Linked DNA regions of Mus musculus. The protein of the gene in region 1 purifies or fractionates together with the protein of each later gene. This does not show direct contact. Links are inferred from orthologs where the notes say so. Each region holds a gene or a part of one and is shown in the gene's direction. Other genes may lie near its edges. The genes, in order: Smad7, Tgfbr2, Itch, Tgfbr1, Acvr1b, Wwp1 and Usp15.

The links.
Region 2: the proteins of Smad7 (region 1) and Tgfbr2 purify together in Homo sapiens (affinity purification with western blotting; 3 studies listed by BioGRID). This does not show direct contact. The link is inferred for Mus musculus from reciprocal best matches to the Homo sapiens genes SMAD7 and TGFBR2.
Region 3: the proteins of Smad7 (region 1) and Itch purify together in Homo sapiens (affinity purification with western blotting; 4 studies listed by BioGRID and IntAct, with this or other methods). This does not show direct contact. The link is inferred for Mus musculus from reciprocal best matches to the Homo sapiens genes SMAD7 and ITCH.
Region 4: the proteins of Smad7 (region 1) and Tgfbr1 purify together in Homo sapiens (affinity purification with western blotting; 19 studies listed by BioGRID). This does not show direct contact. The link is inferred for Mus musculus from reciprocal best matches to the Homo sapiens genes SMAD7 and TGFBR1.
Region 5: the proteins of Smad7 (region 1) and Acvr1b purify together in Homo sapiens (affinity purification with western blotting; 3 studies listed by BioGRID and IntAct, with this or other methods). This does not show direct contact. The link is inferred for Mus musculus from reciprocal best matches to the Homo sapiens genes SMAD7 and ACVR1B.
Region 6: the proteins of Smad7 (region 1) and Wwp1 purify together in Homo sapiens (affinity purification with western blotting; 3 studies listed by BioGRID, with this or other methods). This does not show direct contact. The link is inferred for Mus musculus from reciprocal best matches to the Homo sapiens genes SMAD7 and WWP1.
Region 7: the proteins of Smad7 (region 1) and Usp15 purify together in Homo sapiens (affinity purification with western blotting; 3 studies listed by BioGRID). This does not show direct contact. The link is inferred for Mus musculus from reciprocal best matches to the Homo sapiens genes SMAD7 and USP15.

Annotation. Positions count from the first base shown.
Region 1 is NC_000084.6:75,366,228-75,370,164, forward strand, and holds the start of Smad7 (mothers against decapentaplegic homolog 7), read left to right. Parts: upstream 1-1,137; 5' UTR 1,138-2,728; coding exon 2,729-3,341; intron 3,342-3,937. UniProt on the Homo sapiens protein: Antagonist of signaling by TGF-beta (transforming growth factor) type 1 receptor superfamily members; has been shown to inhibit TGF-beta (Transforming growth factor) and activin signaling by associating with their receptors thus preventing SMAD2 access.
Region 2 is NC_000075.6:116,126,864-116,130,363, reverse strand, and holds part of Tgfbr2 (TGF-beta receptor type-2 isoform 1 precursor), read left to right. Parts: intron 1-357; coding exon 358-548; intron 549-3,500. UniProt on the Homo sapiens protein: Transmembrane serine/threonine kinase forming with the TGF-beta type I serine/threonine kinase receptor, TGFBR1, the non-promiscuous receptor for the TGF-beta cytokines TGFB1, TGFB2 and TGFB3.
Region 3 is NC_000068.7:155,132,031-155,136,280, forward strand, and holds the start of Itch (E3 ubiquitin-protein ligase Itchy), read left to right. Parts: upstream 1-1,450; 5' UTR 1,451-1,555; intron 1,556-4,250. UniProt on the Homo sapiens protein: Acts as an Acts as an E3 ubiquitin-protein ligase which accepts ubiquitin from an E2 ubiquitin-conjugating enzyme in the form of a thioester and then directly transfers the ubiquitin to targeted substrates.
Region 4 is NC_000070.6:47,351,854-47,356,021, forward strand, and holds the start of Tgfbr1 (TGF-beta receptor type-1 isoform 1 precursor), read left to right. Parts: upstream 1-1,368; 5' UTR 1,369-1,458; coding exon 1,459-1,543; exon of another isoform or gene 1,544-2,385; intron 2,386-4,168. UniProt on the Homo sapiens protein: Transmembrane serine/threonine kinase forming with the TGF-beta type II serine/threonine kinase receptor, TGFBR2, the non-promiscuous receptor for the TGF-beta cytokines TGFB1, TGFB2 and TGFB3.
Region 5 is NC_000081.6:101,198,072-101,201,571, forward strand, and holds part of Acvr1b (activin receptor type-1B precursor), read left to right. Parts: intron 1-712; coding exon 713-943; intron 944-3,500. UniProt on the Homo sapiens protein: Transmembrane serine/threonine kinase activin type-1 receptor forming an activin receptor complex with activin receptor type-2 (ACVR2A or ACVR2B).
Region 6 is NC_000070.6:19,625,505-19,629,004, reverse strand, and holds part of Wwp1 (NEDD4-like E3 ubiquitin-protein ligase WWP1), read left to right. Parts: intron 1-999; coding exon 1,000-1,133; intron 1,134-1,231; coding exon 1,232-1,372; intron 1,373-3,500. UniProt on the Homo sapiens protein: E3 ubiquitin-protein ligase which accepts ubiquitin from an E2 ubiquitin-conjugating enzyme in the form of a thioester and then directly transfers the ubiquitin to targeted substrates.
Region 7 is NC_000076.6:123,124,020-123,127,519, reverse strand, and holds part of Usp15 (ubiquitin carboxyl-terminal hydrolase 15), read left to right. Parts: intron 1-1,592; coding exon 1,593-1,708; intron 1,709-1,834; coding exon 1,835-2,107; intron 2,108-2,485; coding exon 2,486-2,556; intron 2,557-2,890; coding exon 2,891-3,006; intron 3,007-3,434; coding exon 3,435-3,500. UniProt on the Homo sapiens protein: Hydrolase that removes conjugated ubiquitin from target proteins and regulates various pathways such as the TGF-beta receptor signaling, NF-kappa-B and RNF41/NRDP1-PRKN pathways.

The DNA of each region.
Region 1 (3,937 bases):
CTTTTCAAAAACCTACTAAATATGTCAGGTTGGATCACCATGCCAACTAGTTGTCTCAGTAACATTTAACACTCTAGTACTATCCTCAGACCTGCTCCACGGACTTTTGCTTGACAAATACCTTTTCTACTTCCTAGCAATCACTTGCATCTGGGGATAGCTTTCTCTGGAACCTATGGTGAAGGAATAAACTCTCTGACCCTAAGCAGGCCCCGCATGCGATTGGATGCTCTAAGCAGGTCTGCTGGCTGGGCAAGGTTAGCGCGCCGGGAGGCCGAGTGGCGGGTGCCGGAGGTCTTCCAGGCCGGGAGGAAACCTGCCGGCGGCGCGCGGGCGAGCTGCACCCCTCCTCCCTCCAGGATGCTGCCCCTCGCTGCTCGTCAGCCTGCCAAATGCATTCCAGAGCTGTGCACAAGACACACTTCTCCAGGCAGTCCTAGAAACCCGAGCCCGGAGCGGGAGAGGGCGGGAGGGAGCGCGGCGGCCGCTGAGGTCACATTCGCGCCGCCTCTCCGCCCTCGGCCGCCCGGCTGTTCCCTCTAGCGCACACTTCCCAGGGCCTCCGTCCTGGCCGGTGTAAATGTCTTTGAAACAGACAGCGATCTCCTCCCCTTTCCAAGGGATCCGCCGCCAGGGCCTTAAAACAAAACGAATGAATGAAGCGCCCGGGCGAGCTCTGCTGGTCTAAATCGGGCCACTAACCGGCTCATTCCGCTCCAAACTCGCCCGCTCCATGCCCCCAGCTCTTCCGATTTCCCCCTGCTCCCGCTGGGTCTCCGCCGACCCCCGGGGCCGTCTCGGCCTCCCACCTCCCTCCACCGTGGGTACCCCTCTCTAGACCTGGGAGAGGGTGGCAGTAACTGGGAGGGGGGTTGAAATAGCTTTTAGAAACCCGATCTGTTGTTTGCGAAACACAATCGCTTTTTTTTTTTTTTAAAGCGACAGGGTGTCTAGACGGCCACGTGACGAGGCCGGAGCCGGGCGCGCCACTGCGCAGTGGAACCAGCCGAGCAGAGGGACGGGTGGGGGGGCGGGAAGGAGGCGGCGGCGGCTGGGGGCGGGGGAGGGAGGGGTAGAGGGGGGAGGGAAGGGGGCGGAGGCGGGAGGCCTTGCGGGAGGCGGCGAGCCCTGGGCACATTCGCTCGCTGATCGGCGCACAGAGGATCTTGTCCCCGAGCTGCGCCAGCAGAGCCAGCCGGGCGCCTCGCTCGGTCCGCTCGCCGCGCCGGAGAGAGCTGCCTGAGACGCAGCCAGCCAGCCAGCCGGCGCCACGCCGCCGAGCGCTCGGCCCCGGAGTCCCTGAGTGCGGCGCGGCGAGCCCCCAGCGGCGGCAGAAGGACTCGAGCGCCAGGAGAGGGCGGACGGGGGACGAGGAGGCTCCGGGGCGCGACGAAGAGAGTCTCCGAGGAAGAGGCTGCGAGAGGACACCCGGGCCTCCTGCCGCCACTGTCGGGTCGGGGCCAGCAGCTCATGAGAGCAGCCCCGGCGGCCACCCGCGGCCAGGAGAAGGAGCACCGGAGGCCCCCACACTAGCCTGTGCCCTCGGGGGCGAGAGCTTGCGACCCGCCGGAGCCCGCCGCCGCGCCGCCCTCCCCCGCGCTGACAGCCCCCCGGGGCGCAGCCGCCGCCGCAGCATCTTCTGTCCCTGCTTCCCCAGCGCGGAGGAAGTCCCCGCCGAGGACCTGGGCCCCCGGGAACGCAGGAGGAAAGACCAGAGACTCTAAAACACCCAGATACGCAAGATTGAAGCAGCCTAGCCAGACCTTTCTGTGGATTAAAAGAAATACGATTTTTTTTTTTTTTTTGGCAGAAGAAAAGGAAAGGAAGACCGGCTGGGTTCAGCAAGGAAAAAAAGGGGGATGTAACTCGTGGATACGGTTTTTTTCCCCCACCCTTCCAACATCTTGTTTTACTTTGTAAACATTTTCTCTTTTAAACCCGGGCTCCATCCGGTGCCCTCCAGACCTCCGAGGTGCGAGGAGGTGGTGTGTTTTTTCATTGGGGGCTTTGCATATTTTGGTTTTGGGGGTTTTGAGAGACCCTCCAGACATCTCACGAGGGGTGAAGTCTACTCGGTCCCCTCCCTCAAGTCTTCGCGTGCACAGAATTCGAGGAGATCCGGTTACTAAGGATATAGAAGAAAAAAAATAAATCGTGCCTGCCTTTTTTTTTTAATTGCCTGCTTCTCCCCACCCCCAAATTAAGTTGCTTAGCAAGGGGGAAAGAGGCTTTTTCCTCCCTTTAGTAGCTCAGCCTAACGTCTTTCGTTTTTTTTTTTTTTTTTTTGCCCCCGAGGATCTTCCATGTAGGAAGCCGAGGCTGGCGAGCCCGACACTCGGGAGCCACTGTAGGGGGGCCTTTTTTGGGGGAGGCGTCTACCGGGGTTGCCTCGGCCGCCCCCAGGGAAGCGGCGGCCGCGTTCCTCCAGGGCACGCCGGGGCCCGAAAGCCGCGCAGGGCGCGGGCCGCGCCGGGTGGGGCAGCCGAAGCGCAGCCCCCCGATCCCCGGCAGGCGCCCCTGGGCCCCCGCGCGCGCCCCGGCCTCTGGGAGACTGGCGCATGCCACGGAGCGCCCCTCGGGCCGCCGCCGCTTCTGCCCGGGCCCCTGCTGTTGCTGCTGTCGCCTGCGCCTGCTGCCCCAACTCGGCGCCCGACTTCTTCATGGTGTGCGGAGGTCATGTTCGCTCCTTAGCCGGCAAACGACTTTTCTCCTCGCCTCCTCGCCCCGCATGTTCAGGACCAAACGATCTGCGCTCGTCCGGCGTCTCTGGAGGAGCCGTGCGCCCGGCGGCGAGGACGAGGAGGAGGGCGTGGGGGGTGGCGGCGGAGGAGGCGAGCTGCGGGGAGAAGGGGCGACGGACGGCCGGGCTTATGGGGCTGGTGGCGGCGGTGCGGGCAGGGCTGGCTGCTGCCTGGGCAAGGCAGTCCGAGGTGCCAAAGGTCACCACCATCCCCATCCCCCAACCTCGGGTGCCGGGGCGGCCGGGGGCGCCGAGGCGGATCTGAAGGCGCTCACGCACTCGGTGCTCAAGAAACTCAAGGAGCGGCAGCTGGAGCTGCTGCTTCAGGCCGTGGAGTCCCGCGGCGGTACGCGCACCGCGTGCCTCCTGCTGCCCGGCCGCCTGGACTGCAGGCTGGGCCCGGGGGCGCCCGCCAGCGCGCAGCCCGCGCAGCCGCCCTCGTCCTACTCGCTCCCCCTCCTGCTGTGCAAAGTGTTCAGGTGGCCGGATCTCAGGCATTCCTCGGAAGTCAAGAGGCTGTGTTGCTGTGAATCTTACGGGAAGATCAACCCCGAGCTGGTGTGCTGCAACCCCCATCACCTTAGTCGACTCTGTGAACTAGGTAAGAAGTTGTTCTGAGTCCACCTTTCGTTCCCTCTGGCGTGGAAATGCTCGAGGATGTGTGTATAACCTCCTGGAGGAGACAAGGAATCTAAGTCAGAGAAGGGACCAGGGGAAGCTTGGGGTTCCCTCTAAGATTTTTCTCTATTGCACCCCACCCCCCCACCCCCCGCCTCCAGAGGAGGGGACCCAGGGTTACTACTGCTTATCCTTCTACTGAATAGACATGCTGCAGAAAATGAGACAGTCTAATTTCCGGGTCTGCAAGGGGGTACAGAGTAAAGTGGGGAATCCGGCTTCCCCCGCACCCGGAAAGGCGATGAGGTGTGTGGCCGAGTTGGATTCGACCCAAGCCCGCCAAGGAAGGCTGGGAGAAACTAGCTTTAAAGGCTGGAAAGTCTCTCCTTTAGTAAATAAGGACAGTCACGTGGGACACGAGTGGCCCAGATACTGTCCTGGCCTCACAGCTTTGGAGTTTGGGGGCAGTGGTAGGATGGAGACTGAACTGGGTATCCAGTCTCAGCTGTGCGAGCTTCGGGGTGAGAAGGAACAGCTTGGAGAAGTTGGGTGGCCTCGACTTTTAATCTTTATTTCGCA
Region 2 (3,500 bases), on another chromosome or scaffold:
ATAACCAAGGGGGGCATCCCCTGCAGAATAGCACTGGATGTTGATCTCTGGCCTCCACATGCATGTGGGCACAGGTACACATCTCTGCACACATACATGTATACCAAAGATAAAAAGAAAGAGATCTACCACCATGTCTACAAGGATAGCTATCTTGTCTGTAATCATAATCAGGCTCTGAGGTGAGCAGAAGGTGGAGAGAGATAAACGAAGCCGGTGCAGGAGAGTTTGGGACACTCAAGTGGAAACCACTTCCTAAGGAATGCACAGACTCAACTGCTCTATCCAGAGACTGGTCATTCATCGTCCCCTCTTTCTGTCCCTCTCTCTTGTCTTCAACAAACCTCTGTGCCCCAGGAGGAAGAACGACAAGAACATTACTCTGGAGACGGTTTGCCACGACCCCAAGCTCACCTACCACGGCTTCACTCTGGAAGATGCCGCTTCTCCCAAGTGTGTCATGAAGGAAAAGAAAAGGGCGGGCGAGACTTTCTTCATGTGTGCCTGTAACATGGAAGAGTGCAACGATTACATCATCTTTTCGGAAGGTGAGTAGTTATCCCGGGTAACAGTCCTCCAGGGGAGCACTGCTGTGTGGAGCACGGAGAGGACAGAGGAACTCAAGAAGCAGTGGGCTCCATGCTTGCCCTTCTCAGATTTGATTCCCATCTTGGTACCTGGCCCTGACAAGCAATTTCTGTCCTCCAGAGCGATGGTTCTTTTCCCAAGCTCATTCTCAGGGCATCTGCAGCAGCTGGGGATTGTTAGCAGTGGAGATTATTAGTATTATTTAAAATTTATTTTCTCTCTGTGTGTGTGCATGGATTTGTGGCTGTGTGCATAGTATATGTGCACATTTGTGCTCATGTGTATGACGTCCAGAAGCCAACTTTGGAAGCCACTCCTTAGCAGCCATCCACCTTGCTTTTTGAAGCAGGATCTTTTACTATGGCAAGATTAGTTTGGGCTGGCTGGCCTAAGATACCACTCTATACAGAATTATGGATAAGTAATAAATGCACACATGTTACTGAGATACTTTTAGTTAATTAATTACCCTGTATGTTCATTTATTTTCCTTGAGGCATTCACTGTGCTACTCATTAGCCTGTGATTCACTAAGCACAGCCCAGGTTGGCCTCAAATTTGGAATCTCCTGAGTGCTGGGACTGCAGGCCTGAATATTCTTTGACGTTCCTTTCCTTCATCTATTATTTCCTTGAAATGAAACAGCCTTTGAAAAGCGCAGTTGCTGGAGCCTAAGGAATGTGCACAATGGACCAACAGCTCCATGGTCTGGAGACCCGCCTCTCTCTGACTCCCAGTAGCTTCCCTCATGCCCTTTGGCAAAGAGTTCCTACTGGGACTCATATTCTTGCTGTTTTACATCTGTTTTTTGTTTTTAGTTTTTGTTTTTTTGTTTCCTGCCTGTGTTTTGTGACTTCCAATTAAAACCAATAGCCATGACCTTGACACAAATCCTTTAAAGTATGGATGTTGGGTGCCCTCAGTGTTTGAAGGCATGATGTTACTATTCCAGATGCCCCAACCTCTAGATGTATGTATGTATGTGTGTATATATGTATGTATGTGTGTATAGACAATCTATGGGCAGTCAGACAGACAGACAGAGATTGGCAGGTCTTTTTTTTTTTTTAACCTATCTACCTGCTACATGCCAGTCCCTTCAGAAGAAGGGACAGATTACAGAGAGACCTTGTCATCTAGTCAGAAAGCCATCCAGGTATCCCCAGCCTGAAGCCTGCAGGCTACATGTGCACCAGGATAGCTATGAATAGAGACCAAAGCAATATCATAAACATCCTTAAAACTCTGTAGGATGTGTTTTGTGATTTGTTTATGTTTTACTTTGGGCGTGACTGATTGCATGGTTCTCCAGCATGAACTTTGTAGATCACACTGTCAAAAGGCTGGGCATGTCTGGAAATGTTAAAAAAAAATGGGCCTTTGCTTTCTCTGGCATCTCCTACCAGCCTCCCGTGGCAGCAGGCTTTGTGTGATGTCTGGTGGCTTCAGTGCATCTTGCATTGGCCAAGGAGAAAGAAGAGGAGAAAGCAGCAGAAACAGAGGGAACACTAGCCAGAAACTGCCCGCTCTTCAGAGCTGTCCCCAACACAGCTCCCTAGAACTGTCCCCAACACAGCTCCCTTGCCTTCTCTGGAGAACGCTTTAACTGGGGGGACCTGAGAACCTACCCAATACTCATCTAAATTCAGAATGCAAATTAGTAGAGGGGGTGTCATGATGGCCATCTGACAGCCATCCGTCAGCAAGACTTGATAGGTGCCAGAACAGAAGTTTAGTCTAGCTGGGCGTGGTGGCGCACACCTTTAATCCCAGTACGTGGGAGGCAGAGGCAGGTGAATTTCTGAGTTCGAGGCCAGCCTGGTTTACAGATTGAGTTCCAGGACAGCCAAGGCTACACAGAGAAACCCTGTCTCAAGAAATCAAAAACAACAACAACAACAACAACAAAAAGTGTAGTCTAAGATGTAGCAGGGCAAGTGTTATCAGGAGTGGCTGTCTTATAACCGCAAGATGGCACGCTAATTTTGCAAGACATTTATGTTTCGTTTTTGGTGTTTTATATGTGTACATGTGGTGTCTGTGTGTGTGTGTATGCACATCTGCATACAAGTGTGCACGTTCATGTGGACGTTGATACTGGTTCTCTTTTTCTATCACTTTCAACCTTGTATGTTGAGCCAGACTCCCCCTGAACTCAGAACTCACCATTGGGCTTGGGTGGTTAGCCATCTTTGCCCTGGGGATTCCTGTCTCTGCTTCTGGAGAGCTGGGATTATGAGAGGGTTGCCACACTAGCTGGCTTTATGTGGGTTTTGGGGATCCAAACCCTGTTCCCCGTGCTTTGAATGCAGCAAGCACTTTACCTGGTGTGAAGTCTCTCCATACCTTTTGCAAGTCACCTGCTGATCTCTGCCTTCACTGCTAGGACTCAAAGGCGCTCACTGACCTGCTTGTTTCTTGGTTGGGTTCATTAGTTCCTTTCTTGCCCCATCCCTCTCTTCATTCTTTCCTTCCTTCCTATGTAGATAAAGTCTTATGCATCCCAGGCTGGTTTTGAGTTCATTATCTAACTGAGGATGATCTTGAACTCCTGACCCCCTTGCTCTACCACCCAAGTCTCAGGGTTATTTACGCTGGGCACCAAGCCTACTCAGCTTCTATAAGTGTATTAGCGATCTGAACTCTGGTCTTTATGCTGTGTGGCAAACACTTCATCTACTAAGCCACCTTCCCAGCCACACATTGTTTTTGAGACAGGGTCTCTTGATGATTCAGAACTCAGCAAGGAGGTTACATTGGACATTGAGCTCCAGGGATCCTTCAGTCTCCACTTCCCGGATGTTAGAGTAAGTGGCTTCAGGTCCGTTCTGGCATCTGGGTTCAACAGCTGAGTTCCAGCCAGGCCCTTTGAACACAGCATCCAGTAGCCTGGGTACCACACCACAGGCACA
Region 3 (4,250 bases), on another chromosome or scaffold:
AAATAATAAAGTAACAAAATATATTTATAATATTTGTTAAAATATCTTATAGTATGCCCAGTGACAAGAATCATCTGGGATGCTAGTTTAAAAAACAAAACAAAACGAAACAAGAAACCAACCCAGATTCTCCTAGAGCACACCACTCTCTCAATATTGGGGATAAAATCTTGGGCCTCATCAATGCTATGTAAGTATCTACTAGTGAGTTACATCTTGAGCCAACTCTTACAGCTTAATCCCTAATGTGGCAAACATTGGCTGGAAGTGCAGAAGAACTTTTAAATACTTAAACACACCAAACCAAAACTAAAAAACAAAAACAAAATCCCAAAAACCCAAACCCAGGGTTTCACCACGTAACCTCGGTTGGTCTAGAACTCTCAAGATATTTGGACATGGCTAGCCTTGAACCCACAGAGATCCATTTGTCTCTGTCTTCTAATGGAACCTGAAGCTTGCTGTGTGGTCTAGGGCGTTGACTAGGGAGCTCCTATGTCTGCCCACCACTGTTAGGGGTCCGTTGGTGCCAGCTTTTATATGAATGCTGGGGTTTCAAACATCCTTGTGCTTGCATGGCAAGAGCCTTTACCCACTGAACCATCCTCCCAACTCAGAATCTTTTTTGTTTAATAAACTCAGCACATAATTCATAATATGGTAGTTTCAAAGGTATTTCGAAAAGTTTAAGTGACTTTCTAGATAGTTTCCTTACGAGGAAACAGGATAAACAATAATAGCAAAGTTTGCTAATTATCACGTGCCTCTATTATTACCACTGCACAGCCTATTAATTCGGTAGGATTAGATGTGTTTTGCCTGGGTTAAGAAGTTTAATTTAAGCATCTGAAAAGGTAACCAATGGCATCTTTCACATAGTTTTGTTGTAAACGTTTAGAAGTATGCTTTTCAGTTTTTATAACTCATGCCGCCTTGGCGCTGTCAAGCTGTCACCCTCCTAAGAACTTCCTGTCAAAAGGTGGAGAAAGGAGAATTTGAACCCAAACAGTGTAACTCCAGAAGGATAGAACCGGCACAGTGCTTCATAAATTGTGATTCCTGCTGTTAGGAGTATCAGGAGAGAACTTGATAAAAATGCAGATTATAAAGCAACCCCTATTCCATCCCAGATCTACTGAGTCAGAAACTGGCGGTGGAGCTCAGCAGTCTGTTTTTAAAAGCTGTTCAAGTGATTCTGAGACACGCTAGCATTTGGTAACAGTCTTTAGAGGTCCTGGCGGGGAAGAAGGGGTCAAAAGGAAGGAACGAAAGAAGAAAGGAAAGAAGGGAGAAAGGAAAGGAGAAAGGAAGGAAGAAAAGAAAAAAGCCTTGGAGATGTAGAGAGCAAGGCTTAGTGTCCACTTCACCTGGAGGTGAGGAAAAATGATTTAGGAGGCTGGCGCGCAAGGCCTGCTGGGGCCTGTAGTCCGGACTGCGCCGAGGAGGCCGCGCCTGCGCACTAGGTGTGAAGTAGCTCTAGTCGCTGTAGTCGGGGCTCGGGACCGGCTGCCATCTTAGCGGAGGGACTGAGGAGTCGTCGCCGCCCCGAGTCCCGGTAAACACGCGCAGGCAGACTGGGGTCATTTCTGTGGCTTGGAGGGAGTTTGGATGAAAAGGCATGGGGAATGCGAAGGGTAGAGGAGTGTGGCGCTCGAGTCTGGACCTAGAGCCGGGGCTGCTCTTCCCGCAGCCGGTGTCCGTGGGGGGCGCCCGGAGAGCCGGCTGGTGGCCCGAGCCGAGTGGCGGGTGGGTCAGCAGGTCGAGCCGAACTGCTAGTGCTTGGCCTAGGCGTCCGGAGCCTGTAGGCCCGCGAGCCCCAAGTTGGGAGAGAGCCGAGCCGCGGCGGACGTGGGCAGGGTCCAGCCCCGCGCCCCGCTGCCGCGCCCGGGGGTTCCTCTCCCGCGGCCCGGCCTACGCGCGGGGCCCGGTGGCAGCGGCCCGCCCGCGCGACGTGGCCCTTTGAGGGGCGGCGGCCGGGCCCACCTGCCACCTGGCAGGCTCCCCCCGAGACTTTTCCAAGCTCCCACTCGCAGAGGACCTTCCCCAGTGACTGCTTCCCCTTCTGTCTTGTACTTCCCTCCTCCCTCCATTGTCCCCACTCATGGTGGTCCCGGCCCAGGCCGGCGCCACCGACTTTTGCAGACGTGGAGCTGTCACAGCCCTTTCTACCGAGAGCGTACTTTTCTTGAGCAAAGAAAAAAGTAGAGGTGAGCGCATTTGAAAGGTGGAAGCCCAATGAGGGCAGGACTTTTAAATAGAAGACTTGAGTTTTGAGACATAGTTCCCGGCTGCAACTTCAAGAGAGAAAAAAAATATATAAGGGTCAGTGCACCCGAAGTAGGCATTGGGCCTAAAGTTAGAGATGTGACCAGGTGACTTGCAAAGTACCCCAAATTCACAGTTCCCCACTCGCTTGTTTTCTTGGCTGTGTTAGAATCCTAATCCTGTTGAGACTTCTGTTCCTCTTTAAGCTGCAGTGAACTTGTTCTAAAGGGGGCAGTGGGGAGAAGAGGGAGGTTTTCTTCTTCACAGTTGACAGAACACCATCTAGCCACCCATCATCATTCTCTTAAGTGGGTGGTTCTCCTGTATCCTTATCTTAAGAAAGTAGGTAAAGGCTGTGTATGTTCACTCCCAGGATTGGCAGAGGGCTTGGTTCTCATCTGAAATAAAGTCTTTTGGGGGCAAGTTTGAGATTCAGCCTTGTGTATCACAGGGTTACCTAAGGCTTAATTTTGCAGGTTTAAAAAAGATTGAAATTTTCTTTTGAACAGTGAATATACTTTGTATGTGTGAGTTCAGGAATTCAAACTTCAGATGTCAACAAGGATATATATACTATGAATCCAAAAGCAAGTGCCTAATACTTTTTACTGTATTCTAGAGTAAATTCTACATTCTTTAAAACAAACAAACAAACAAACAAAACAACAACAAAGATTTACTTAAGAGACAGACTGATCCATGGTCCCAAGGTTTGGCCATTAGTGTAATTACAAGAGCTTTTAATTTTTTTGTTTTTGTTTTGAGACATGATTTGCTCTGTATCGCTGACTGGACTAGAACACACTGTGTGTAAACCTAGGCTGGCATCAAACGTCATTCTGTCTTCCTGCCTCTCCCTCCCAAGTGCTGGGATTATAGGTGCTTAACCAACAGAGTGGGCTCGGGAGAAGTTTTGAGATTTGTTTATTTGTGTGTGTGTATGTGTGCATGCGCACACCATGACTTGAGTTGGAAGTCAAGAGTGTTTCCTCTTTCCTGTGTGTTCTAGGGTTCACACTCAGGTCATCAGGCTTGCATAGCAAGTGACTTTCCTTGCTGAGCTATTTTGCTGGACCAGGAGAGATTTTTGAAAGTAGAGTTTTCAGCTCAGTTGGTAGAGTGCTTGTTTACCACACACAAGGCCCAAGTTTATTTAGCTCTCAGAAGCATTGGGAGGTGAGGCCGCCTGAAGTACTTGAGACCCTTTTTAAAAAAGTAGATGCTCTCAGGTCTCAGTTTTGAGATAGAATAGTGGGTCTGGATTGGCTTCTATAACTTTACTTACAGATGGGCTGTAGGTAGTTGGGATGGTTTTGGGAACACTGAGGCAAATCATAGTATGGTTATAACAAAGACAGCACAAAAAGCTTTGAGATGGGGGAGGAAGTGGAAGTGGCCTGTGTGGGATTGTTGAGGGAAGTGGCAAGACCTATGTATGAAGGTCAACATGGTTAGTTCCAGGCCATCACAGCTACCTAGTGGGTCCTGGCTCAAAAAAGGGTTAGTCTATGGACCCGAGGTTCTAGAGCAGTGGTTCTCAAGCTGGGTTTTGGCCCCTTTGGCAAGCCTCTAGCTCCAAAAATATTTACATTGTAATTCATAACAGTAGCAAAATTACAATTATGAAGAAGCAGCAAAAAATAATGTTATGGTTGGAGCTGGTAAGCCCCATGAGGGACTGTACAGCATGAGGAACTGTATTAAAGGGTCACAGCCTTAGGAGGGTTGAGAAGCAGTGGGTTAGAGGATGAGTAGGAATGGGGCAGAGGTGAAGAAAGGGAAGGAAATACCTTACTACCTCGAGGCGTGTGTCAGTTAGGAAGGTGGGAGAAAAGGAGCGCAGGGTGTGGGATGCAGGGGCCTCAGGACCAGGAGGGCAAAAGGACCTGTTCTGGAAAAGCTCTGCGTACAGTGCTAATGCTCGTGAATTTGATGTCGTGAGAGATCAAGGCTTGGGGAAAGGAAGTGGTCTAAGTTGGTGTTTA
Region 4 (4,168 bases), on another chromosome or scaffold:
GGCCAGGGGAGCCAGGGGAGGCAGGAACTGATGGTTCTGGAGTCCCAGAGAGCAGGCCTGTTCAGGTTCTGGCAGGTTGAGGACTTGCTGAAGCGTGTCCTAGCTGGAGCCGAGGAGCAGTCTCAGACCCCAGCTCTTAGCCCCCACGGTTTGCTTTCATAAGCAGGATCAAACTCTTGGAAAGTGGCTATAAAGCAATTTACCAACAGCTACTAGAGGCCGGCTGATTCCTACTACGGAGCTTTATTTAATTCCGAGTTCAAATCACACAGAAAATAACATTTTCTCCTTAAAAGGTTCTGCGGAAAAATGCTGTCGGTGCCATGCGGCCGCCTCCGTGACTGTGTTTGTGTCTGAAGAAAGGACTAGTCTGACAGGAAGAATTACAAATCTGGAGCTCATTTTGGCGTCCCAGAGGGAAGGTGGGTGGAGCGTCTCACAGTAAATTAGGAATTCAGAATGAAAGCGGAGCTGAGTTTATTTGGGTTTTTAGTGACACCTCGAAATTATTACACAGGAGTGTCGGAGACAACTCAAAGTACCTATGACTGCTCCCGCTTCGCCCCGGGGCGGGATGCTTCTTCGTAGGGCAATCCTCCCTCCTTCGAAACCCGTGGGCCTCTCCGCTTCCACGCGGGGACAGCAAAGGTGGGAGGGAAGGAGGGCGGCGGGGACCCTTAGTCTGGGTCTTTTTACGGTGCCGAGACACAGAGGCCACTCGGGGGTGTGTCTGAGCTCCACCTTGGGATTCCGAAACTGGGCTCCGACTTTGAGACTGGAATTTGGGGAGAGGACGACGAGGTCTGGGGCGGACGTGGAGTGCAGAAAGAAATCGGACTGTCTTTGCGGGGAGGCTGGAAGCCGCGGGTCTAGGGTGGGGGAAGTTGAACCCCGGACAATATTGAGGGTCCGAGTGGCGAGAGTTGGGTTTTGCGGGTGCAGGACTGTGCAGGGGAAGTCAGGGTGGGGTTGGAGTAGAAGAAAAGAGCGTGCAACGGTCACAGTCTTTCCCTGAGCAACTCTCACAGGCACACCCTGCGCTCAGTCGGGACCGTGGGCTCCCTCGGGCGCGCAGACTGGGACCCTGCCCCCACCCGCCGCGGGAGCGCGAGCTGCCCGCTGTGGCTGGAGTAAAGGCGCCCAGCGGTGAGGGGGCGTGGTCAGAGGCCCAGCAGTGCGGGGGCGTGGTTAGAGGCAGAAACCCACGGCCGCTCATTGGTAGCCCAGGGCCCCGCGGGCGGGGCTCTCGGCTAGGTCCCGCTAGGGCGCTCGCGGGCGGCGGGGGAGGCGGGGTCGGCGGGAGCCGGGCAGCCAATGGGCGTACGCCCCTCGAGCAGTTACAAAGGGCCGGAGCGAGGCCGCGGCGGCGGCGGGGAGGTGGGGCGAGGAGGGGCGAGGCTTCCTGAGGAGAAGCTGCGGCCGGGGCCGGGCCGGGCCACAAACAGTGGCGGCGGGACCATGGAGGCGGCGGCCGCTGCTCCACGTCGTCCGCAGCTCCTCATCGTGTTGGTGGCGGCGGCGACGCTGCTCCCGGGGGCGAAGGGTGAGTGGCGGGCGGGTGGCTGCGGGGCGCGCGGGCCGGGCCGGGCCTCTGGCTCGCTTCAGCTCTTTCTCAAACATGGCGCGGGGCCGGGGGCGCAGGTGGCGGCGCCCGGCCGGCCGGGCGCTCCTGACCCGGCAGGCGCCACGCGAGCCGGGGCGGGGAGGAGAGGCGGGGCGGGGGCGGTGTCGAGCGCGGGTGGCGGAGCACCGAGCAGAGGCCGGCCCTCTTGGGCTCCCGGGGGGCAGCGGCTGGCGAGCCTGCCGAGGTCGGGGGCTGCCCTTAGGGGTGCGAGGCCGGCCGGGACCGTGGCCCCCTGATTCCACTGCCTAAATGCGCCCCGGCCTGAAGCTGTTGGGGCGTGGGCGGGCACCGGCGTGGAGGCGCTCCGGGGCCGGGCGCTTGGAGGGCTCCCCGGAGGGTCGAAAGGGGCGCCGTGGGCAGAGACCCCGGGTGGGCCGCACCGCCGTGAGTGCCGACGCCCGCCTAGGGCGACTTTTCTTCAACCAGGGGCTTTGTGTGAGAAGCAGGCGCGAAGATGCGCGGAATGTTCTCGCTTCGTGAGTCTGGGAAGAGTTCAGAGTCCAGTAACCAGAAGGCTGCAGATTGTCTTCTTGCTAGTAGAAACTTGAACGTTTGCTCACTCTGCAGATTTGGGAACGTTTGAATGGGAACGGTTCTGTAGAATTGATCAAATTATTCCTTTTCTCGAGGGGATCGTTGCTTTGGGTGTATCATTTCCCTAAGCGGTAGTTTTAAAACCAGACCTCTGTGTAGCTGGGGTTTGAAGGGAAATGTGTGGTTTCCCAAAATATTAAAGCCGGTCGTGATACTGGTTGTCACCTCTGGAGGGAAGATTGAAAAAAACTTTGTCAGGAACCAATTAAAATAGGAGAAAGCAAAATACTGAGGCTCGGCATTAGCAACCTGCATACAGTGAAAATACATTTTTGTTGCGGAAATTGGATAACAACATTTTAAAAAGCAAAACAAGCCAAAACAAAAGTCTCTCCAGACTGTGGATGCCAACTATGATTAAACTTAATAGTTACTGTTTATTGGGAGTTGATTATAATGCAGATGTAAAAGACACAGTATCAGAACCCTCGCAGTACCAGTATTTGTCCTGTATATTGACATGAAAACTGAGGTGCAGAAGATTAAGTTCTTAGTAAGTGCAGAAATTAGGATTTGCACTTAGGCTTTCAGGGTTCAAAATCTGTGCACCTGTTACACCAAAGTAGCATGACTCACTTAAAGAACAGTTGATATTTGATAACATAACTTAGCCATCAGTTTCTTAGTTTACTTGAACATTCTCTTTACATAGGTCTACAGTAGAAGATACAATGGGTTTTTGACATTGGCTTAGGAAGGAAATAATGGTGGACAAAGTGGGAGAATTGTTATAATTATGCATCAACTATAAGTGACCATATCTAACAGTTATTTGGGTAAAGTAATTAATTCTTTTCTACCTAAAACAAAGCAGGACACGTTCATGCATTTAGCAGTATTGACGTGGATGCTGAGAAGGCTGGTTCATGTCCTGGAGGACTTTATAGCCTACTTAGGCAATGATGTAATACAAAATTAGCCTAGATGTTTTTATTGCTCAAAACCTAGACTAGTACTTCATAAACTTTCCCCATTTGCCACCCTCTTTTCTCAAAAGATTGTATGTGCCCATGAGTCACATACAAAATGTAAAAGATGGGTATATAAATCAAATGTACTGATAATAGAGCATAAATAAAATTATTTTAAAACAATTCATTGGTATATACAGTTTTACCATTTATTAAAGATTAAAGCACATTTCTGTAGTAATGAGATGGGTGAGTTTATTTTTTCTTAAAGAACTGAATCATCCAGTGCTGGCGACTCCACATAATTACAGATGTTTAGGACCATTTCAGAAATTGTTGCAATTCTATCTTAATCACAAGATGAGATTTATGTAATAATTTTTAAAATGAAATTTAAGTCAGCAACTTAAACAGCAGTTTTTAAAATCAGACATTTTAACACAATACAATTGGTCAAGGATATACCACTTTGATATACATGAGGAATGAAAGTCTTTTCTGTAGTTTGTGTATGTTTCTGGAAGAATAGAAAACTTTGTATATTCAATAAAAACATTAAAACTCATAAAATAATAGTCTGGACTGTGTTAGCACTGCATAGCACGATAGCATGTGTGTTTAGAACCAAGACTGTAGTGAAGTTGCATCTTGCAACATAAGCATGGATTGCCAGAAACACCTCAGATTCATTACTCAGTTGATTTTGAATTAATTTTGGGGTGTTATACATTCACAAGTCCTTTACTGTTGCCAGATTGTTATATGACCCAGCATCTCTATGTGGAATTAGGAATCAGTTTAAGCTATGGCCTGCAGGGCACTGTGGCTCATGCCTTTAATCTCAGCACTCAGCAGATTCTGATCTCATAGTGAGTTCTAGGACATCATAATATAGAGGTCTTATCTCAACCCCACCCCCCAAAAAGAAGACGCTAGACCTAGATAAGTTCACCTTGTCTCATTTCGTTAGGTTGTTTCAGTGTAGCCTTTTATACATTCTGAAGAAATGCACAGCTTTTCTTTATAATTTAGCTTCTCT
Region 5 (3,500 bases), on another chromosome or scaffold:
GAATTTCTGTAAAGCCCTGGCGGAGACACACGTGCATGTTAAGCACACAGTAAATCCAGCAAACCTAGGGTTACTAACAGCTGTTATTTGGTCCAGTGAGAGAATGGAAGTCAGTCATGATAGATAAGGGGATTGGATAGAAGGAGAGATAGACATCAGATGAGTCAAATGAAGCAATGATGAGCCCTACAAGGCAGTAAACTGAGTCATGAATTAGTGTGGGTAGTCCCCAGTCTACACTGGAGCTTCCTGCTCTTCCTCTGCAGAGCTACGTACCCTGTGTGCTTCCACCATAGGTCTGCTTTGTTGGCCACACAGCATCGCCCTCTAGTGGCTAGTGAGCAGGGTGGCCAGAAGGCAGTGCCCAACTCAGGAGTCTGCTACATTCTTCCTGTTACACCAGAATAAAGCAGCCATCAGTGAGTTGGTAACTCTAGTCAAAGATTTACATGTAGTCTTTCATCCGTATAGCCTGGAGGGGAAGTCCTGGCTAAGGGCAGCTAGCATGTGTTTTTCTGTGCTGACTTGTGCTTAGCCTGCTGGTAAACCACCTAGCATGGCTCCTGCCTTGCTATAGCATCCTGTGGCTATTGGGCCAGGGAGAGTGGAGAGACACCTGGTGGAGGGCCTTTCTGGGGGTGTATATTGTGTGGCAGGCCCAGAGTTTGGCAAAATTGCAGTGTCAGATTTTTCTCTATTCTTTGGCCTACAGGGTTACCCCTTTTTGTCCAGCGCACAGTGGCCCGAACCATTGTTTTACAAGAGATTATCGGCAAGGGCCGGTTCGGGGAAGTATGGCGTGGTCGCTGGAGGGGTGGTGACGTGGCTGTGAAAATCTTCTCTTCTCGTGAAGAACGGTCTTGGTTCCGTGAAGCAGAGATCTACCAGACCGTCATGCTGCGCCATGAAAACATCCTTGGCTTTATTGCTGCTGACAATAAAGGTACTGTGTCCCAAAGTCAGTGGCCACTTGTTGGCGCTAGAGAGGCCTGGCTGCTCTGCTCTGCTGCACACAGCAGGTCTGAATAAGACCATAGTTCTAAACCCACTTTAAATGTGGAGCATTTTATGCCAAGATGCTCACACGGAACCTGGGTTATTGCGTAGCTAAGAAGGCCTCCCATGCCCCACAGGCTTTTCTTCCTCTATCCCTTGATTTGCTCTCCGATCTGCACCCAGCATGGCCCCCATTGGGACTCCCGTGTGTTTGTTTTGAAAACTGCTACAATAGGAATTACGTTCTCACCTGCCTGGGCAGGTGGCAGAGACACATACACGGTCTACAACACAGCACAAGCGTTACACACACTGTCGTAGGGAAGCCACCATAAGCAGACACTGGCCTTTCAGTGTCACCTCATAGCTATGAGACTGGTTTCGGTCTGTTTTATACCTAGAGCCCCAGAGCTTCTGCTGCCGGTCCTCCCCCTCCTCTATCCCCTCTCCTTCCCCTCTCTATCCCCTCTCCTTCCCCTCTCTATCCCCTCTCCTTCCCCTCTCTATCCCCTCTCCTTTCCCTCTCTATCCCCTCTCCTCCCTCCTCTTATCTCCTCTCCTCCCCCTCTATCCCCTCTCCTCCCTCCTCTATCCCCTCTCCTCCCCCCCTCTCTCCTCTCTCCTCCCTCCTCTCTCCTCTCTCCTCCCCCCTCTATCCCCTCTCTTTTCTATCCCCTTTCCTCCCCCCCCACCTCGTTTTTTCTCCTTTGTCATAAGGCAGACTAGACATATAGGACAGCCTAGCCACAAATGTACAGTCTCTCTGTCTCAGCCTTTTATATACATGGGAGAAGCAGGGGAGGGGTAGACAGAGACAAGGTTATGCTGGACTTTTGTGCGTGCCCATGCCCGTGTGTGTGTATGTGTGTGTGTGTGTGTGTGTGTGTGTGTGTGTGTGTGTGTGTGTGTTAACACATACTATGTTGTGTGGCCTGTAATTCTAGTTCCAGGGGATATCATGCCCTCTTTTGGCATCTGCTGGTACTTGCATGAATGTACACATAGCCCTACAAAGACACACCATACACACACACCTGGCATTTGGTACCCCTGGAACACAGAAATTATGAGGGCACTGAGTTGTGTTTTAGAAGTGTCTGGCAGTTGTGACACACTTCCCTCTGCAGCACAATGACTAGAGGCTAGTGTCCACAGATGTATGGGGAATGCCAGCTGAGCGTGTTCTTCAGAGTGCTGCGGGGCTGCAGGTCCCTGGCTGCCCAACAGCTGAAGAGCCCTGGGTGTTAGTGCAGGGGAAGAAGAGACGGTCTCAGCCCTCTGAGGAGCTGCTGCTATCCCAGACGTCTTAGAGTCATTAAAAGGCTCCAACTGTCCTATGGCAGGTCATGGCCTCCTCAGAAAGGAGTTACTGGTTAGAATATGGCCCTCTTTGGGGTCAGAGCTGACAAGGTTGAGACATTTCTAGCAGCCAGCCTTTATTGATTCTGGAAGCTTGTATGAGTTGGGATCTGAGTTAGGGCCAGGAAAGGAGGGAGTCAGACCCCTTTGTTCTTGCCTTGTTACCATGATATAGCCAGTGTGAGGCCCTGGGATTAGCACCAGCCTAGAATTTGGAAGCTTTCAGCCCAGTTTCTAATCTTCCTAGCAACAGCAGCAAGCTTAGCCAGATTGATCAGTGTTGCTTTCTCCTCTCCCTGTCCTCCGTCCTGCCACCCCAAAGTGAAAGAGAGGGGTCAGCAAGCTCCCTGCCTTCCACTGCTTTCCTGAAGGGCAAGATGGCCTTTGTGGGAGTGCTCAGAGCATTCCTGGCTCTGCAACAGGGATGCACAAATGGGATCCTTCTGCTCTCATCATGGCCCTTGGCCTGAGAATGGACACCAAGTGGAAGGAGACATTTCCAGTGAGACAGGTGCTGCACTGGGTCATGATCGAGGGAGGAGTGCAGGCAAGAGCGGGCTCTCCTCCTGGGCAGCAGTGGGTGGAGCACGGAGAGCCTCCTGTCAGAGCGAGGAAGCAAGCCATCAATCGGTAACAAACTGAACCTGCACATTCCAGACTTGGCGATAAAGTGGCGCTGCTGAGCATCTTCCTCACTGACTGGGCTACTTGCTTGTCTCTCTAATAAGACCCCACAGCCAAGTGGCGCACGCCTTTAATCCCAGCACAGAGAAGGCAGAGGCAGGTGGATCTCTGAGTTCAAGGCCAGCCTGGTCTATAGAGCTACACAGAGAAACCCTGTCTCAAAAACAAACAAAAAACAAAAACAGGGCTGAAGAGATGGCTCAGTGGTTAAGAACACTGGCTTCTCTTCTAGAGGTCCTGAGTTCAGTTCCCAGCAACTCCATGGTGGCTCACAACCACCTGTAATGGGATCTGATGCCCTCTTCTGGCATATAGGTGTGCATGCAGATAGAGCATTCATACATAAAATAAATAAAACTTAAAAAACAAAATAACACAAATAATGGCAATAACACATAACACTACTACTACTAATAATAATAAAGACACCACGGCCTGAGTGACTTCCAGAGCGGTTTGCT
Region 6 (3,500 bases), on another chromosome or scaffold:
GTATCCTAGAGAATTTGGTAACAATTAATAGGATTCTGATATTGTAGCTTAGGTTGATAGCCTACCCCAACCTCCTGTGTGCTGGTTATAGCCACCAAGCCCAGATGAGGAAAAAGAACTGGATGAACCCCGTAATATAAGAAGTATTGGCAAATGACCTTGAATCAAAGGGAGAAGTTTGTATTGCTCACAAAAGTGGTAGAAAGTTTACTTGCAATAGGAGTATGAGAGTTGAGATGCTAGTGGTGAGCAGATGGGTAGACTACACAAATGTGCTCCCGGTTACCATTTCCTGTGTGCAGTAAGTTTAGTAAGTATTTGAGGACAAAGGAATAGCAGTTCGTAGTCATCTGAGACAGGGAAACTGAATGTCGTGAGTAAACATGCTTCTATGAGGTTGCTGGTCATAGCTAGCTAGCTTGCTATATGTACTTCTAGCATGTTCTACCACTATATAGGCAGTATAAATTCTTAATTGATTTTGTCTAGATTTGGGAGTTTGTTAGAAATACATTGGGGAGGGTTTGAAGCTATATAAGAAGATAATTTCATGATTTATTGATTTAATGTAAACAGATTAAGGGTCTGCAAATAGTTTTAGATATTATGGATTCAAAAATCATTGGTGTCTTCCTGTATTCATGCTGTATGTAGGCATGAAGACACAGGGGTCCTACAGATTAATAAAGGAATGGAACAAAGTACATGGGCTTTTTATTTCTGTGTTTAAGTTAATTACTAAAAATATTTAAAAGTGGCAGAATTTGGTAATAAAGTCTCATCATCTCTTTATAGTTTTTATGTACATTATGTTTGACCTATGAAATAAATGTTTTCATTGTAGTTTTCTATGCATTGCATAGTATGCTAATCTTCACATTTTATACCATTGAATAGTGCTTTTTAATATGTAAAGCTGCATGATTTCTATATTGTCACTATGCTATAAAGATTATTATTTTGTAAGTTTAAATAAAATGTTTTGTTTGTTTTTAACAGGCACTGTTCCATGGAAAGTTTATTGATACTGGTTTCTCTTTACCATTCTACAAGCGTATGCTAAGTAAAAAACTTACTATTAAGGATTTGGAATCTATTGATACTGAATTTTACAACTCTCTAATCTGGATAAGGTTTGAAGTTTTTTTTTGTAATAGAAGTAATTACTTGAAACCCATTCCTATACTGTGTTTATATGCACACTCACACTATTTTTTTTTTTTTTATCCAGAGATAACAATATTGAAGAATGTGGCTTAGAAATGTACTTTTCTGTAGACATGGAGATTCTGGGAAAAGTTACTTCACATGATTTAAAGTTGGGAGGTTCCAATATCCTGGTGACGGAAGAAAACAAAGATGAATATATTGGGTAGGTTGATAGAGCTGATTGAATTCATTCTGTAGAAGGTATGGGATATAATTAGAAATATCCTATATTTACACTCTTAACCTTAGTAGTTTTTATGAAACACATGGAAAACTCTCGTCAGGTTCTTTCTCCGCTGGCTCAGGTCCTTGTGCTCTGTGCTGATCCAGATCCTGCTCGAGTTTGCTCGAACAATGCATATCGTTAGTCACTTTCCCATGTGCATTCGCAATAGGCAGTCTCGCTTCTGACCAAGTCAGAAGCCATGACAACATGCTGCTGAAAGCGATTTCCAGTCTTCAAAATCTCAGAAAGAAAAGTTGTATGTTCTCCTAGCCTATTACACATATACATATACAATGCAATGTGTGTGTGTGTGTGTGTGTGTGTGTGTGTGTGTAAAAGTGCACTTCGGGATAGTATAACCTGAAGAAGAGAACAGGAAAGAGTAACTTATCAGAGATGATAGTGAAAGACTGAATGAATGTAGGTAACTGAAACTTGATTCATAAAAGAGGATATAAAGTATATTTTTTCTAGTTTTAAATCTGCCATTTTTTGGTGATGGATAAATGCATGCAAATATTCAATAGTGAAAATCCAGTGTGAAGCTTCACAGCTTCAGAATGTTTATAACGATCAATAGATGTGGGGTCTGGTTAATTTTGGTGTATGAATTTTTTATTTTTAAGTTCTTTATGATAAAAATTTAACGTAAAGTATTTTGCAAAGGCGATGTAGCCTCCTCGTTTACAGATGAAGGGACTGAAGCTATGCCAGGAATGGGCAGAATTGTGTCTGGGAACTCCCCTTTCACTGACATTTCATCCCACACTACTCTTGAAAAGTTTTAGTATTTATTTATTTTGGCTTTGCAAGAAAGGGTTCTCTATGTAGCTTTGGCTGTTGTGGTATTTGTTCTATAGACCAACCCAGACTCAAAATCAGAGACCCACCTACGTTTGCTGGGAATAAAGGTGTGTACCAACACACACAGCCCACAATCCCAATTTTTAGCTTGTACATAATAAATATTTTATTGGCATCTATTCAGTATGTATGCTGCTGGGTTGTACAAAGAAGTTTTAAGTAACCATGGGCTTTGAGTATGTTCAGTCTTGCATTTCCTCCCCCTAGCCTTACTGCCTTCAGCTACTCTTATCCTTTCCCAGTTCGTTTTCTATTTTCCTGTCACAGGACAGCTAGAAAATTGGCTCAGTAGTTAAGAGCATTTGCTGCTCCTGTGTACTAAACTCCAGTTTGGTTCCCAGAACCTACATGGTAGCGCGCAACCATTTGTAACTCTAGTTCCAGATCCGACTCTGTCCTCTGCAGGCACCAGGCATTCACATGGTACATATAACATATGTGCAGGCAAATATTCATCCACTTAAAATAAGAACACATCTTTGAAGAAAAAAGTAACGAATATATACCTTTCTGAAAAAAGGGAAGCATGAAACCTTTGCTTTTCTGTCTGGTTTATTTCACTAAACATAATCATTTCTAACTTTACGCATTTTCATCAAGTTGAGATTATAAATATAATTAGATTATTTCTCTCTTCTTATCCCTCCCTTCAAGCCCTCTCCCATGTACCTCTGCTCTCCTTCAAATTCATGGACCCATGCTTTCATTAACTGTTGTTACATGTTTATATGTATATGCGTATATATTCCTAAATATAACCTATTCAGTCTGTATGATGTTAATTGTATGCATATTTCCATGGCTGTATGGTATTTGGTAAGCAATTAGTCCTCTTTCCTGTTTTTGTCTTTTAGTAGTTACTATAGAAGCAAGCCAGATTACATGCTCAGCGGCAGTGTGTAAGGATGCTCTTTTCTCTGCTTCCTTGCTAGCATTTGTTGTTTTCTCTTTGTTAGCAACTCTGGGGTAAGATGGAATCTCTGTGTAGTGTTAATTTGCATTTCTGTGATGACTAGTGATGTTGAACATTGTTGTTTTTGTTTTTGTTTTTTTTTCCATTTGTTCCTCATCTTTCAAGAACTGCCCATTCATTAGACGAAAGTCAAGTGGCTTTTTAACTCTAGGGCCTGTATTTTATCAAATTGATTCATGTCTCTGTTTTTAGCCAGGCCATTTATTTTTCTGACTGTGTTTCTGTATA
Region 7 (3,500 bases), on another chromosome or scaffold:
AGAAGGTGGTGATGTACATCTGTAATCTCAGCCTTAGGTGTGACCCACTGCGTGAACAGGACTTAGGGTACATACCTGTAACCCCAGCACTTCTGACACAGAACTGGGACAACCAGGGATTCTTATTCTACCTTTTGGTTTTCTGAGACAGGGTTTCTCTGTGCAGCCCTGGCTGTCCTGGAACTCAGAAATCCGCCTGCCTCTGCTTCTGCCTCCTGAGTGCTGGGATTAAAGGCATGCGCCACCACACCTGGCTTCTATTTTTTTTTTTTTTAATTTATTTATTATATGTAAGTACACTGTAGCTGTCTTCAGGCACTCCAGAAGAGGGCATCAGATTTCATTACGGATGGTTGTGAGCCACCATGTGGTTGCTGGGATTTGAACTCGGGACCTTCGGAAGAGCAGTCGGCGCTCTTAACCACTGAGCCATCTCGCCAGCCCCCTACTTTTTTTACATAGCAAACTTGAGGACAACCTGGGCTACAAAAAGAGTACCAAAGTAAATAATAAAGTAAAAGTAAAATTACATTCTAATCCATTGACCTGGTCACATAAAATTCATTACTGATATTTCAAATTTGTGAACCCAATCCTTAGCTGTTTTACACCAGTGGGAAGGCAGTTCTGGTTGGCCAATGACTAATATTAGTTCAGAGCAGAAATCCTAGTAAATCTCAGATGGCAGCTGGTTCAAAACGTCACAGCAGTATTAACAGGTGACATGGTGAGACAGTACCCCCCCACACACACACATACACACACACACACTGCTTTTTATAAACCTTAATGTGAATAAGGTAATGGCAAATACCATTAGACGTCTTCTCTTATCCTTTATACCTGACATATTTTATATTTCCTATATACCAAAGCATGGTAATTTCATGACCCATGTATAAAGATAACAATACACACATGTGAGGGCCGCTTATGAAGTTCTTGTTTTAAGTTGAGAAATGATCCACTGTGCTACATCTTTAATATATAAAATATGGGAAATCCCAAGATGAAGAGACAATTCAGTAGGTAAGATAAGGCTGCTTGCCACCAGGCTAGCAATCCACATTCAGTCCCTGAGGCCAATGTGGTAGAAGGGGAGAACCAGTGACTACAGGTGTCCTTGGGCCTCCATCTCCACACACCTGATGTACATGCATACACACACACACACACACACACACACACACACACACACACACAAATGTAATTAAACGTAATTAAATTAAAGCAGACCGTGCAGCGAGGTGTGGGGGCAAATACCTTTAATCCCAGAACTGAGATGGCAGAGCTGAGAGAGGTAGGAGTTCAATGCTAGCCTAGTCTACATAGAGTTCACGCCAGCCTCAGAGAGACAATGAGACCTGTCTCAGAAACAAACAAACAAGCCTACAGGTATAAGGGGGGAAAACCCTAGAAGTAAACAGTCCCCTTTTGTATTAAAACCACACAGATACAGATGATGACTCAGCTTTACTTCAGTGTGAGGTCTTGAGGTTAAGTTAACGTAGCTGGTTTTCTTAAGTCAAATGCAAAGTTAATTTTCTAGCAGGCTCATTTATTACCTGATTTTTAAAAATTTCTTTTTGTAGCCGGTATGTCAAAATGTCTACTGAAACTGAGGAAACAGATGGACACCTACGTTGCTGTGAGGACCAGAATATTAATGGGAATGGGCCAAATGGCCTACATGAAGAGGGTTCACCAAGTAAGACTTGTTCTAAGTCCTCCTTCCCCCACCCAGAGCACACGAGTCGCTGTAGGAGAGCAGTGCCAGTGACTCGGAAGTGCACTGCAGGGTTATTTAAAGGCCTCCCTTCTTCCTTACACTAAGGTGAGATGGAAACCGACGAGCCAGATGACGAGTCCAGCCAGGATCAAGAGCTTCCCTCAGAGAACGAGAACAGTCAGTCTGAAGATTCAGTCGGAGGAGATAACGATTCTGAAAATGGATTGTGCACTGAAGAAACATGCAAAGGTCAACTTACGGGACACAAAAAGCGCTTGTTTACATTCCAGTTCAACAACTTAGGCAACAATGACATCAACTACATCAAAGACGACACCAGTCACATCCGATTCGATGACAGGCAGCTTCGGCTGGACGGTGAGTATCTGAGAATGGCGTGGACACTGAACTTGAGCAGAGCAAATTATTGTTTAGGTCAGAGACCATGAAATTTAGACCTGTCTTGAACAAAAGGACGTTTGCTTATCTATAAGTAATAATTAAAAGCCTTAATGAATGCCTTCAACAGTGGCAGTGTTTATCAAAGTCTGTGTGTTTAAGCTTTGTATCACTTCACCGCTCAGATTATTTATGTCAGCGGCATGGGTGCAGCTCTCAGGCTTGCCCTGACCGCCTAGTGCAAGTAGAAACATGCTGGGGTTCCTCTTCTATGGTGTATGTGTTGGCACGAAGATACGCTTATTTTAACATTTAAATCTTACAACATTTTTAATGAAAAAAATTTTTTCACCTCAGAAAGATCTTTTCTCGCTTTGGACTGGGACCCTGACTTGAAGAAGAGATACTTTGATGAGAATGCTGCAGAGGTAAGGCCTTGTCGTCTTCTGCTCTCTCTCACTCTCTCTCTGTAACTAGGAGTTAATGATACTCTTCCTTCTACCTTTGCTTCTACGGATACGTTGATTTTAGCAGAAAACAAGGTTAAGCTACTTAGTCGTTAAGGTGTAGTTGGTCTTGAACATGCTTTCCCTGAGGTTAGTCAGCCAGAGGCTCACTCAGAAGGGGCCGCGTGACCTGTCAGTGGGCGTAAGCTCTGGGATGCTTCTGAAAGTTGGCATTGTTGATAAGACATAGTTCACCTATGACTAAGAGTAGTTTCATTTCACTTGTTCTCATAACTCAAGAAATACATCTCTTTAGGATTTTGAAAAACATGAAAGTGTGGAATACAAACCTCCAAAAAGGCCCTTTGTGAAGTTAAAAGACTGCATTGAGCTCTTCACCACCAAGGAGAAGCTGGGTGCTGAGGACCCCTGGTAAGAGCCGGACACGCGCTGTCTGCGTCCTCCCTGGAGGGCGTGTGCTGGGCGGGCGGGCGGGCCGGCCAAGACTGGCTTTCCTTGGCATTTGAGTGCGGTGTCTTTATATAATAAGCTCTGGTCTAAAGAAGGATGCTGATGGCTCTGTGAAGTATCAGAGTGGAACCTTCATTCTCAGGACTGTATTGTCTTCTCCCTAATAAACCACTTTCATCCTTCCTCTGAGTATTTCTTTATAAAGCTCATGTGAAAATGTAGAGGATTAATGTCGTGAGGAATTGCTTGCATGTTCATTTCTGTTAGGTTTACAATAATTACTCACTGCTAAGATGGAGAACCTGCCCATGCGGTGACTTTGGTTCATAGTTTTCAGTAATGCAGGCATGGTTCTGCCTCTGTCAAGCGCTATGATTTCTTCTTGATAGGTATTGTCCAAATTGTAAAGAGCATCAGCAAGCCACAAAGAAATTAGATCTGTGGTCCCTGCCTCC